Drosophila melanogaster: one gene and its partner. Each later gene encodes a partner of the first gene's protein in a complex. Each region holds a gene or a part of one and is shown in the gene's direction. Other genes may lie near its edges.

Region 1 (10,398 bases):
CCACGCCTAATCACATATACACACACACATACACATATGTACATTTGTATATACGCGTGCTGACACATCGTATCACAAATTTGAATGACCTGCGATCGACAAATCTGTTTACATTCAATTTGTTTATGCCATAAGAGGGGCAAAATAAACAAGAACATTCTTTCGTTCTGCTTTCAGAAACTATCGAATTCCAGAGCAAAATGTGCCTTTAGTCTGCTGCGAGACATCTAAACCAGAACCCACGCTATTAAAGCTAAGGACCAACTATGCTAGCAAAAATCGGCCTTCTGGCGAGTATTCTTGTGCTCAACTTAGTTGGCCAGATCACGCCCCAATTTTCCGAAAACCTGCCGGATCCGGATCCGCAGTCGGGACAGCAGCCTCAGAACTATCAGCCTAGCTACAACAAGGATTACTCTCCGCGATACAACCCCCTGTATACTGGACAGCAAAGCGCTGACCCCAACCAGTTCGACAATACGCTGGTCGACGGACAGAGCCCTAATACCTACAAGGGGTACTATGATGGCAGGGCAGGAGGTGGGGGCCTTGGCGGCAATGTAGTCGGGCCTGGAAACAACCTCGGCGGACTCGGCCCACAGTACGACCCCTTTAATCGGAACAGCATAGGTTCAGCAGGTGTCAGCTACCGGGACGCCTATACGGATGAAGATAACTTTTGCCCGGAGCACTGGGTCTCGTTCAGACAGACGTGCTATCGCTTCATCCGCTCGCCCAAGCGCAACTGGGCAGAGGCTAAAAAGATCTGCAAGGCACACAATGCCGACCTGATAAACGTGGATAATGTAGAGAAGCACTCGTTTATACTCAAGAATCTCATCCTGCAGAATCAACGGCAGAACCGATTCTTCATCTCCGCCCGGCAAACGGGCCCGTTGAATTGGGTCAACGATGACAACACCCAGTTAGTCCAGATCGAAGACTCCTTTTCCATGGACGAGCAAGTGCCCTTGGAAAACGAAGATCTGCACGACAATAGATTCCTTGTGCAAAACGACCTCAACAACCAAAATATCAATAATCCAAATCAGTTTTACAACTCTCTTCCGGGGACTGTTAATCAGCGCAATCAAAATAACCTTCGCGGCTTTATAGGCAAGTTTCACTATTTAAAATTGTCGATTTGCTAAACATCGTTTCCTTACAGGTCCCAACCAGCCGTATGGAGACAACCGATATGTGCGCGATCGCGTTGTGTACGCCTTCTCAAAGAAAAGGGATCGGTGGATGTTCATGCCAGCCTATGAAATTGAACTAAATCTCTTTATATGCGAGTCAAAAGTACTATACAGCTCAGACAATGTCAACATAAAGTTAGACGACAAGCGTCCCTACCATTATGGACTCGATATAAACGACATGGAACGGATTCCACGGGGTCCTTATTTCGTAAAGCAGCCAAACGACACGACTTTCGATGTGAACAAGAATCGCCTGATTAATGATGTTACTCTTAGCTGTTTGGCCAACGGGTATCCAACACCTTCATACACATGGTACCGAGAGGTATACGTAGACGACAGACTCGAGTACCAAAAGATTGATCCCCTGGCGCAGGATCGATACACCATATCAGGAGGCAACCTGATTATCTACGAGCCGAAGCAAGCGCTGGACCAGGGCGCGTATCATTGTGTGGCAGAAAACAAATTTGGGCGAATTCGATCCGAAAGCGCGCATTTAAACTTCGGTTTCATTATGGAATTCAATCTAAAACGGTCTGCGGAGACAAGCGAGATGAATTGGGGCAAATCCATATTCTGTGACCCCCCGCAGCACTATCCCGACGTACGCTATTACTGGGCTCGAGACTATTTTCCTAACTTCGTGGAGGAAGATCAACGCGTATTCGTCTCCCGCGATGGTGCCCTATACTTCTCCTTCATAGAAACTGTGGACAGAGCCAACTACTCGTGCACCGTACAGACCCTTGTGTCGGACACCGGTCGCAACGGACCCTTCTTTCCGTTGCGCGTTACCCCCAACAGCAACTATCAAGCACTGATATTTGCCAACACCTTCCCTAAAGTCTTTCCGGAGGCGCCAGTGGCAGGTGACGAGATTCGGCTGGAGTGCATGGCCTTCGGTTACCCCATTCCGTCATACAATTGGACCCGCCAAGGCCTACCTCTCCAACGCAACGCCTACACGATCAACTATGGGCGTGTCTTAATAATCCAAAATGCGACAACGAACGACAACGGCGAGTACTCCTGCACGATTACCAATCCCCGGAAGACACTTATGAAGAGCATATACATCAATATTCAAATGCGCCCACAATTTACCATACCTCTTAAAGACATGATAAAAGACTACAACAGTGACGTGACTTTCATTTGCGAGGCATTTGCAATTCCGGACGCGAATTACACGTGGTACAAAAATGCCGAACGACTCGACCCAGCGAATATTAATCGCGACCGATACATTATCCAAGACAATGTGTTAACCATTAAATTTCTAGAAAAGGATAAAGACGACGCAATGTACCAATGTGGTGCCCAAAACCAACTGAAGACCTCCTTCTCTTCGGCGCAGCTCCGAGTGCTGTCTATGAAACCGTCCTTTAAAAAGCATCCCCTTGAATCTGAAGTCTATGCTGTTTACAACGGCAATACGACAATTGTGTGCGACCCGGAAGCCGCTCCACGCCCTAAGTTTCAATGGAAGAAGGATGGACAGGTGATTGGCTCGGGAGGCCACCGGCGCATTCTGCCCAGTGGTACCCTGACAATATCACCCACGTCGCGGGACGATGAGGGCATTTACACATGTATTGCATCAAACCAAGCCGGCACCGACGAATCGCACGCGCGTGTTATTGTATTGCGTAAGTAGAAAATGTCATTCATATGCAATATACATTTTTTTTAAAAAGTAATTTTATTTTGTCAAAAAACCTACTTGTGTTTCCTCAATTGGATGCAAAATGATTTTATTTAAAAAAGTTAATTTATATATAGTTTATAAATAATATATATTTACTTTGATAAAACGCATTGTTTAGAGAACTTTTTTAAAATTGTTTTTAATGCACCTATCTTTGTTATTGTCTGAGTAGCATAGTAAGAGTAAAATGACTAATACATAATAAACTAATTTAGTATTTAAATACTTGAAATTTTATCAAGACTTATGTAAACCTATTTATTCAAATATTTACAGAGGAAATTCGTTTCATTGAAACGCCTCCACAACGAATCGTTTCTAAGGAACACGACTTAATCTTCTTGCATTGCGAGGCCGCCTTTGATGAACTCCTCGACATTGCTTATGTTTGGAAACACAACGGCGAAGTCCTAAAAAACAATCACGACGGCACCGGACGCATTGTAAGTTAATGTTCTGAAATCTGCACTAAACCTGTCCTTATATTAACCTTTTTGTTATTGCAGATTGTAGATTGGAACAGATTGACAGTGCATAACACGAGCATGCGCGATGCCGGGGACTACGAATGCGTTGTCAAGTCGGCGGTAAACGAAATTAGCAGCAAGACCAGTGTTTCTATTGAGGGAGCTCCTGGCGCTCCTGGTGGTGTTCAAGTCATACAGATAAGTAAAACGAAGGCCATCATTGAGTGGGTGGACGGATCGCACAACGGTCGTGCGATCCGCTACTACAACATCCTAGGCCGTACAAACTGGAATCGCACCTGGGTTAATGTGTCGACCCATGTGCAGGCGCGAGAAGTAGATCGATACACCTCTCGCCAGCAAGCCGAGGTTGTCAATCTGACGCCGTGGTCGGCTTACGAATTTAGTGTTACTGCTGTAAACGATCTGGGAATCGGAACGCCCTCGGCCCCCTCGCCAATTTACAGCACCTATGAGGACAAACCATACATAGCCCCGAGGAACGTGGGTGGTGGAGGTGGAAAGATTGGCGACCTAACTATCACCTGGGATCCGCTTCTACCGCAAGAGCAGCATAGCCACGGCATACACTATAAAGTGTTTTGGAAGCTCAAGGGAGCCATTGAATGGGCATCTGACGAAATAAAAAAACAGGATCACATGGGCGTGGCTGTGGTTAATATTCCTCTTAATAACTACTATACGGAGTACGAAGTCAAAGTCCAAGCCATTAACAGTGTTGGCAAGGGACCGGAGAGTGAAATAGCTGTCATACACTCCGCTGAGGACATGCCACAGGTGGCTCCTCAAAAGCCCATTGCGCTCGCCTACAACTCCACATGCTTTAATGTCACTTGGCAACCTATAGACATGTCCCGTGAAAACATTCGTGGCAAACTCATTGGCCACAGGGTATGGTTACTGCACTTAATTCCATTGCATTGTCAAAAACCCTTATCTTTCACCAGTTGAAGTATTGGAAAACGACGCACCAGGAAGAAGACTCGGTATACTACCTGTCACGTACTACAAGGAATTGGGCGCTTATCGTAGGTCTACAACCAGATACTTACTACTTTGTTAAAGTCATGGCTTACAATGCTGCAGGTGAAGGACCTGAAAGCGAACGCTTTGAAGGTGTGTAACGAACAGTTTAAAAAACCATTTAAAGAAAATGCTTAAACACCATGCTTTTTAGAACGAACATATAGAAAGGCCCCGCAAAAGCCGCCATCTTCGGTTCACGTGTATGGAATAAACCCGTCTACCGTGCGGGTTGTTTGGAGATATGTTTCACCTTCGCAAGACGAGGAACCAGTAGAGGGTTATAAGGTACAACTCCCGGCACCGTGACCAAGAAAATCGATTACAGTTTGAAACTTTCTAGGTTCGCATTTGGGAATCGGACCAGAACATGATTACGGCCAACAATACCATAGTGCCAATCGGACAGAAACTGGAGTCGTACATCAACAATCTGACGCCAGGGAAGAGTTACAACATGCGAGTCCTCGCATACAGCAATGGAGGAGACGGTCGCATGTCCAGTCCAACTTTACACTTCCAGATGGGCAAGACCACGCGCAACGGCGCAAATACCCGACATGGCCACAATATCAATACGGCTCTTATCTTAAGCACATTGCTACTCATTAGCACCTTTCTTTACACAAGCCAATGAATGCAGCACAAATTAAGATCCATAACTTTAGGCAGTAAGAACATACATATACTAAGAAGTGACCTTATATTTGAGTAAGTGAAGTTATAAAAAGAACTACATTCCATCCGTGCTCTCTTGCAAGCCCCTTAATTGATACAAATGCAATTCCGTCCATTTTATAGACTTTTATCAAAAAATAATTTCTAAAATTTTATCAACAAAATAAATATGAATACCATTATATGGTCCAGTATGTTGCTGAACTAAAAATAACAATATCCCTATTTTTTTACTTGGAATAATGAATTATGAATTAATTATGAACGTGTGCCCCGGTTGGCCATATTTATGTCCCTTTTTGTTCACCTGGTAATACTACTCCTGCATTTTATACCCGATACTCGTGAAGTAAAAGGGTATACCAGACTAGTTAAAAAATATGTAGCAGGTAGAAGAGGTCTTGATCAGGATCGATCTGGCCATGTCCGTCCCTATGGACGTCGAGATCTCAGAAACTATCACAAATCAAAATTAATTATTGTCCAAAAATATCAAAAAGAACTAAGAACTAAGTGTTTATTTTTGGTTTTTCGATTATTTATTTTGCTGCTATTTCATCGCCCGCGTAAAACGGGCGGACATGGCTATATCGACTTGTCTGTTTTTACTGATTAAGAATATTTAATACTTATATATATGTATACGTAAATGTCTATTCGAATTTCCTTTCTACCAGGTACCCGGTATTCTTCTACAATTACAAACGAAAGCCATCTATCGGTGGGGTTACATTTATTGCTCACAACGCCGGAATATGTCATTAATGAAAAAAAAAGTTTGGTTTTTTCTTACTTTGCGTTAAAAATTAGTGCAGTATTGCAAATGGCTAGCTATTTTCCGCATACGGAAATACCACACAATACCAATCGGCTTCGGGAATCCCCCTAATATTACATGACGAATCTAATATGGTGCTGCGGTCCTCCTCGGTCACACTGAAATACTGCGAGCAGCGAGCAGTAGCTGTGGGCATTGGCAAAAACATAGAGAGAGAAGATAGATGCAAACATGGTTTTATAGCGGAAATCTCATACAATCGCACTGGACATCTGGGAACTTGAACCATCGACCTGCCACAGGCAAAGGCTTTCCCGTAAGGTTATCCTGGGTAGCTAAGGGAACACCATGGCGTATGGCTGGAACGGATGCGGAATGGGCGTGCAGGTGAACGGAAGCAACGGCGCCATAGGTTTATCCTCGAAGTATTCTCGCAACACGGAGCTGCGACGCGTTGAGGACAATGACATTTACCGGCTTGCCAAAATACTAGATGAGAACTCATGCTGGCGCAAATTGATGTCGATCATACCCAAGGGCATGGATGTGCAGGCCTGCAGCGGAGCCGGATGCTTGAATTTTCCGGCGGAAATCAAAAAGGGATTTAAGTACACTGCGCAGGACGTGTTCCAGATTGACGAGGCTGCAAACCGACTACCGCCGGACCAAAGCAAGTCGCAGATGATGATCGACGAGTGGAAGACCTCTGGCAAGCTCAACGAGCGGCCCACGGTTGGGGTATTGCTCCAACTTCTGGTGCAGGCAGAGCTCTTCAGTGCGGCAGACTTTGTGGCACTAGACTTCCTAAATGGCAAGTATGACTATGTTTGCCTTAAACTGACAAAACTAAAAAAAGTGTATCCACTGACTTCTCTAGAGTCCACCCCTGCCCGGCCTGTTGACGGTCCCGGTGCGCTCATAAGCCTTGAGCTGCTGGAAGAGGAAATGGAAGTGGACAACGAGGGGCTGAGCCTCAAATACCAGTCAAGCACTGCCACTCTTGGGGCAGACGCTCAAGGTAGCGTTGGCCTGAACCTGGACAACTTTGAAAAAGACATTGTGAGGCGGGACAAGAGTGTGCCCCAGCCGTCAGGAAACACCCCTCCCATAGCGCCACCTCGACGACAGCAAAGGAGTACTACTAACTCCAACTTTGCAACATTGACAGGCACCGGAACTACGTCGACGACCATCCCGAATGTGCCCAATCTGACAATTCTCAATCCCAGCGAACAAATTCAGGAGCCAGTGCTGCAGCCACGACCGATGAACATCCCCGATCTGTCTATACTCATTTCGAACTCTGGTGATTTGCGGGCAACTGTGTCGGACAACCCAAGCAACAGAACTAGCTCAACGGATCCGCCTAACATTCCGCGAATCACTCTTTTAATTGATAATTCTGGAGATGTAAACTCTCGACCAAATCACGCTCCAGCGAAAGCTTCAACGGCTACCACATCAACGGCGAGCTCAAACAACTTGCCAATGATAAGCGCCTTGAATATAAGTAAAGGCAGCAGGGAGACCTTGCGTCCTGAGAGCAGAAGCAGCTCCAGCAGCTTGAGCAAAGATGATGACGATGATAACGATGGTGAGGAGGATGGAGAGGAAGAGTACCCAGATGCCTTCTTGCCAAATCTGAGTAACTCAGAGCAGCAGAGCTCAAACAATGACTCCAGCCTGACAACGGTTACTGGCACCAGTGGTGATAACAGCTTTGAGCTAACCAACGACTCCAGCTCCACCTCAAACGACGATTACGCTTGCAACATTCCAGACTTGAGTGAGCTGCAGCAATAGATAAAAGCACCGACCATCGGCGGAGATGACATTCCGTTCGATAACTTATGCAACCCAGATGTATTCATTTGGCAGCTGGGTGTGGACCTTCTTATGTTATGCATGAGGTCCAACTAGAATCTAAGATTCAGTGCACGATTTGTTCATATCACGTCTGTAATCGTGACAGTACATGACAAGTACGGCAATATCAAATATTTCCGTTTCAAGAAAGCCATAACCCAATACCAAAATTTAACAAATTTTGTATACTTACGAAATACTCCTTCATTTTCTAGTATAAATTTCCTTAAACGCATAATGGGTTTCTGTGACAGTTTTGTCTTGGGACAAACTGCGATCTTATGACATTTTTCGTTATTAATTGATTGTTGCCTAAAATATTTCACAAGTACGATATAATGGCTAAATACAAATAAAATATTTTTGAAAACATTGTCTGTTTTTCTCGACGTTCATACTGATAATATACCACATGACCGCTTAAGTCAAAGCCTTTTTCAGGGCTGTAAGTTCAAGAGTTTAAGGCGACTGTTTTTTCTCGGTGAAAAAACTTTAGGTTTTTCAAATGAACGAATGCATTTTGTATGTAATTTTTGTACTATTTTATTTATGTGCACAGGTTAGTTTCGTTTAGTTACTAAATTAATACACTGTTGTCCGTTCCAAAATGTACACTTACCTTTCTCCTCGGATGACATGTCCATTGCCTTTTCCGTATAACTGCAAATTTTTGATTTTAATTGTTTTATTTTTGTTGTTCGAAACAGCAAACAGTATTACTCCACATTTGCTCTAATGCCCCGTGCCCGTGGCACGCAGAATAGTCGATCTTCAAACTGCTGACAATTAAAAATGTCTCGCACCTTGTTTTTATTTAAATTCTCATTTGCTATGGCGGGCGCGGTACGATATTGGTCCCGTGCTATCGCGTACCATTCATAATATCGATATCTTAAGAACAATAATCGGGAATTTGTTGGACACCTCTAGTGTTCGACGAAACCACTGAGCCAAACAAAATCCGAAATTATTCGCAACATGGACGAGTCGGAGCTGCTATTCAATCTGTTTTATATTCTGTTGTGCATGGTGATCATCTACCCGCCAGAGGAGTTCCAACGCCTGGGATTCACCATTGAACAGTTGTTCGCTCGGTTCCTGGGAGAAGAGTACCTGGACTTTGTAGGCTACCACCAGCGCCGTACTTCGCTGAATCTCTTCGTGCACTCCTGTCTGCCCTTCTCCTACTTTCTTATTCATAGGCTCAAGTTCTCCGTCTTCGCCACGCAGGAGCCCTTGGAGGACTTCGACCTGGACCCGGATTTCCCCATGCCCCAGGAAGCGGTAGCGTTTAAAACGCTTACGTGGAAAACCGCCCAGCGGTTCAGTGTGTTGGCCGTTCTGGCGATGCCCGCTCTGATCTTCAACTGGCACCAGGAAAACTGGCGTCGGCACCCGATCAGCAAGGCGCTCTCCAAGTACTCCATCACGCCGGGCAGCTACAGTGCCGTGGCTAGCGAAATTGGTATAGAGTTCCGGCAACCGGAAATATACAAGAAGAAGCTAAATTCCATTAGCTCGGTGATTGCCACGCAGAACTGGATAATAAAAACCACCATGTACAATGTTCACTTCGCCCATCAGAGCAACACGTCGCTTAGCGTAGCTAAGGTCAGTGGTACACGATTCCTTTGTATGTGCGACCCTAATATTTTGTCCGCAGGCAGAAACTTACAACATATCGCATCAAGACCAAAACGACACCTTGCAGATGATAAGCATTATTGTACGGCCAATGAGGCAGGGTGTGAGCGACTTCCACATACGAATTAATGCCCTGGAGTTTAGGAATCTAGAGAACCGAGTCCGACGACCAATCGCAATTCCCTCCAACATTCAGTTACACCGCAATGTTATAGACCGTTTTGTGGACGTCTTCAAGGCGCAAGTCGCCCAAAATCCCATTTTTCCAGATGATGCTACTACGGAAAAGTGTTTTGCCTGCATGCTAAACGAACCAAACACCAAGATCCACAAGCAGTGTGCCGACTTTGATCGCAATGGCGCTCCCTTGGCGAACGGGGCGTGCTGCTCAAACTGCTACTGCCGGCCCATGTGGTGTGTAGAGTGCCTAGCGCGCTGGTTTGCCGCTCGCCAAAGTGACGTGGATCGTGAGGTGTGGCTGGAGCAGAAGTGCACATGCCCAATGTGCCGAGCCAAGTTTTGTGTGCTTGATGTCAGCTACATCACAACCACAGTCGATGCAACTAACAGTACTCAGAGTCAAGGCACCGAAGAAGATACTAATGACACCACGTGATTTATGACTGTTAGAGATTAAAGGACTCTTAAATCGAACCTGGTTCTTTATTGGTCTTATTTAAGTGTAATCATTTTCAATACAGTAAGACGTACAATTATATAGCTATAAACTTATAAATATGCATAGTAATTAGTGCACTTATCACTTTTTAATACTTTAACAATCTAAGCAATCCTAATATTTTTATTTTACTTAAGTACAATTGATCTAAGCATAGACAGAAAGAGTGTTCATATGAGAAATATGCCTTAATATGCTCTGCATAGGAAACCTGTAGTGCAATAAGTCCACTATCTAAATGCGTTTTATTTTCTTTGTCCTCTCAATCTGATAAAAAAGGCGTCATGCTAATTTATATACATGTGCATGATAAGTAATGGAAATACATA
Region 2 (3,600 bases), about 23 Mb from region 1:
CACCAGCGAGGACATGGAGCTGTTGCCGCCGATATGTTGGTGTGATGTGACCGCGGTTGCGGCGGCGGCCTTCTTGGCCTTGGCATTCGCTGCCTGAAAATGAATAGAGGATTAGTGAACTTGATTTTGGAAATTCTCCCGCAGACAGATGGCTTTACCTTGTGGCTCTGCATTCGAAACGTGCGGTTGGATGTAAGGGCGCATGGAAATGAATGGGTTTTTGAATGGATTTTGATGATGTGCAAAGAGCAGCGCATTAGTCGATGTTGTTGGTGAGGCGCGTTGCATTGTAGTGGTTCAAGTGGTGGAGCATAAGAAAGATAAAGCAAGATATCTTAGTTGGAAATTTTTTTTGGGATGAAGATATCACAATTTGTATGGACTTCTACGTTAAGTTAGACAGACACAAGGATTCGCGATGAGAATATCCACCCAAGGGCTCCGTTTCGCTTACCTTTGGATTGTTGGCCACGATGGGTGGCGGATGGGAGCCATCGCCGGAGTCCGGGCTCAGCTCGACGGCCTTGCTAGCAAGCAACTTGTTGCGCCAGACCTGCTTCATCTCCTGCAGCACCTGTTCGTCGACGCCCTCGTCCAGGAACGCGTCCCGCACATTTGTGATGACGTCCTCGATCACGGCATGGTACACCTTCAGCTGCGGGCGAGAGGGGATGCGGTTAATTGTGTATAATTAAATTTGAAATGCACGACAAATCTGGGCTTGTGTTGACTTAAACACTCATTATATTATCGCGGCTCAACTTCACGCTATTAGGGCCTAAACAGTTGGGGGTAAAACAATAGGGATTGCGCAAAAAATCCACGAAGCAAGTAAAGGGCAAGACGCTATAGAAGTTGAAAATGTGGCGCACAGTATGTGGTGAGCCTTTTTGAGCTCCCATTAAAATTCAGACGCAGCTGTAATGTGAATATGCAAAACGCAAATAAAGTATGTAAATTATTTGTTTGCGAAGAATGTCGCAGTGCACATATGTACATAGATACCATGCATATGCTGGTATATATATATATGTACATTGTACATATATATACACCGGTATGCCAGTTGCTTGTTTTATTAATAGTTTGTTTTGCGTTATCAGCGGACGATAAGGAAGGAGGCCCCGACTTGTAGATAATAGCACAAGCTACGCAGCGTGTATTACTGCTAAATATAACCCCCCATGGGAGTTTGAAGTACTACGCGGAAAAGCCGAAAATCGGAAAATCCAGAGGGCAAGAAACATACAAAACTGCAAGGCAACGAACGCACTAACACAGCGACATCCAGACAGACACGCACTCGCATGCACACACATCCACACCCGAGAGGTTTGCAGTTTTGGTATCTCGGATTTCAGCAGTTGTAACTATCGTTTTGTAGTAACTACCATGACCACTGGGAAAGCTTTCACTTTCCCGCGTGGGCGGCGGAAGGAGGTGAAGCTGGAGGAAATGGAGAAACTCCTTGGTAGGATGCCTTCCATATGTCGAATGCAATGGAGCCACCGCCGCTGACACAATTACCGGATCTCGGGGATCCAGCCGCACACTCACCACCGATGTCTGGCATAGCGCCATTTGGACCTTTTTCTCCGCCAGCTTGAGGCTTTTCCGTTCGCTGGTGGGGCTAATTGACGTATTTGCTGAATTATAAATGGGCGAAGCGAAGAATTAGCGATAGCGATGCGTTCGTGACGGTGTCAGCAGTGTGGCCACCTGCGGGGCACTTGAAAACGACGCATGTCCGCCAAACTGCAAGGCTCATTTGGTCATACACTAATTGCCTTTGGTATTTTTTAAGATATTTTAGTATACAAAATACTGTGCAAATTACATAAAATATGTGGAGGTTATTTAAAATCTATTTAATATTTTCATACAGCAAATACCTTTTTAATAATTACTCTGCTTTCTTTTTACTTCTGAATTTTAAACAGTGGCTCCTAAGCATCTACCACTTTTTCGAGTGTATTATTTGCTAGACATTGGCAGCGTTGCCAGACTGCTTCGCTCTGTTAAGCTGCTTTATCACTTGTTGCGCCGCTGTTAACAAGTCATCCACAGGTTTTCATCGAATCGCGTTGGGAATTTACCCAAAAGCGATTTTCGTTTCGCTGCAACAGGTTACCAGCGCCGCCAACCCCTCATCCAACGGGCACTCTTGCATCCGGAGCCGCATGAATCAGTCGCAACCGGTTGAACCGCCCGCCCATAAGTGAAAGATGAGTGGCGTCCAGACCGCCGAAGCCGAGGCGCAGGCCCAAAACCAAGCGAATGGCAACAGGACCAGGTCGCGTTCCCACTTGGACAACACAATGGCCATCCGACTGCTGCCGTTGCCCGTGCGAGCCCAGCTATGTGCCCACTTGGATGCCCTAGACGTATGGCAACAGCTGGCCACGGCCGTAAAACTCTATCCCGACCAGGTGGAGCAGATAAGCAGCCAGAAGCAGCGTGGCCGCTCAGCCTCCAATGAGTTCCTCAACATTTGGGGCGGTCAGTACAATCACACGGTGCAAACATTGTTTGCTTTGTTCAAAAAGTGAGTCAGTTTGAGATAATAACCGCCGAGATCCCAGAAATGACTCCTCTTACTTTAGATTGAAGCTTCATAACGCCATGCGTCTGATCAAAGATTACGTTAGCGAGGATCTGCACAAGTACATACCGAGGAGCGTGCCCACCATCAGCGAGCTGCGCGCTGCTCCCGATTCCAGTGCCAAAGTAAACAACGGCCCGCCGTTTCCCTCCTCCTCGGGCGTCAGCAACTCAAACAACAATCGCACCAGCACAACGGCAACGGAGGAGATACCCAGCCTGGAGTCCCTGGGCAATATACACATTAGCACCGTACAGCGGGCAGCCGAATCCTTGCTGGAGATCGATTATGCGGAGCTAGAAAACGCCACGGACGGCTGGAGTCCGGATAATCGACTGGGACAGGGCGGATTCGGAGACGTGTACCGCGGCAAATGGAAGCAACTGGACGTGGCCATCAAGGTGATGAACTACCGCAGTCCCAACATCGACCAGAAAATGGTGGAGCTGCAGCAGAGCTACAACGAACTCAAGTATTTAAACAGCATCCGGCACGACAATATCCTGGCCCTCTACGGATACAGCATCAAAGGTGGTAAGCCGTGCCTCGTCTACCAGCTGATGAAGGGCGGCTCCCTGGAGGCTCGTTTACGAGCGCATAAGGCACAAAACCCACTACCAGCACTCACCTGGCAGCAGCGGTTTAGCATCAGCCTCGGCACGGCTAGGTGGGATTTATCGTTTCTTTAGTGCTATCAATCTTCTTTAACTTTTCATTTCGTTTCCAAAAGAGGCATCTACTTTCTGCACACGGCGCGAGGCACACCGCTGATTCATGGAGATATTAAGCCGGCCAACATCCTGCTGGACCAATGTCTGCAGCCAAAAATCGGAGACTTCGGTCTGGTGCGCGAGGGTCCCAAGTCCTTGGACGCTGTGGTGGAAGTGAATAAAGTTTTCGGCACTAAGATCTACCTGCCACCGGAGTTCCGCAACTTCAGACAACTCAGCACGGGCGTGGACGTCTACAGCTTCGGCATTGTGCTGTTGGAGGTGTTC

What was found. Proteins that work in one complex are often made in the same cells at the same time.
Region 2: the proteins of tub (region 1) and pll are in contact, whole or in part, in a crystal structure (PDB 1D2Z), measured with the Drosophila melanogaster proteins. Residues at the interface, in NP_001189164.1 of Drosophila melanogaster: Ile47 (codon at 6,367), Glu50 (codon at 6,376), Asn51 (codon at 6,379), Cys53 (codon at 6,385), Lys56 (codon at 6,394), Ala139 (codon at 6,643), Glu140 (codon at 6,646), Leu141 (codon at 6,649), Phe142 (codon at 6,652), Ser143 (codon at 6,655), Asp146 (codon at 6,664), Arg160 (codon at 6,772), Asp163 (codon at 6,781), Gly164 (codon at 6,784), Pro165 (codon at 6,787), Gly166 (codon at 6,790), Ala167 (codon at 6,793), Leu168 (codon at 6,796), Ile169 (codon at 6,799), Ser170 (codon at 6,802), Leu171 (codon at 6,805), Glu172 (codon at 6,808); in NP_001263008.1 of Drosophila melanogaster: Arg35, Val62, Lys63, Leu64, Tyr65, Gln68, Gln71, Glu85, Asn88, Ile89, Trp90, Gly91, Gly92, Gln93, Tyr94, Asn95, His96, Gln99, Thr100, Phe102, Ala103, Leu104, Lys106, Lys107, Leu125, Tyr128.

What each region holds. Positions count from the first base shown.
Region 1 is NT_033777.3:4,381,702-4,392,099, forward strand, and holds tub (tube), read left to right. Parts: upstream 1-6,040; 5' UTR 6,041-6,228; coding exon 6,229-6,691; intron 6,692-6,757; coding exon 6,758-7,683; 3' UTR 7,684-8,112; downstream 8,113-10,398. Other genes in the region: Cont (contactin), read left to right, coding at 267-1,116, 1,169-2,854, 3,190-3,356, 3,420-4,292, 4,349-4,517, 4,579-4,712, 4,768-5,061; CG14646 (uncharacterized protein), read left to right, coding at 8,725-9,357, 9,410-10,006. UniProt on the Drosophila melanogaster protein: Plays an essential role in the Tl receptor signaling pathway that establishes embryonic dorsoventral polarity; the signal directs import of dl into ventral and ventrolateral nuclei, thereby establishing dorsoventral polarity.
Region 2 is NT_033777.3:27,251,583-27,255,182, reverse strand, and holds the start of pll (pelle), read left to right. Parts: upstream 1-2,000; 5' UTR 2,001-2,225; coding exon 2,226-2,545; intron 2,546-2,603; coding exon 2,604-3,269; intron 3,270-3,332; coding exon 3,333-3,600. Other genes in the region: TfIIA-L (transcription factor IIA L), read right to left, coding at 1-93, 159-167, 455-655, 1,558-1,581. UniProt on the Drosophila melanogaster protein: Plays an essential role in the Tl receptor signaling pathway that establishes embryonic dorsoventral polarity; the signal directs import of dl into ventral and ventrolateral nuclei, thereby establishing dorsoventral polarity.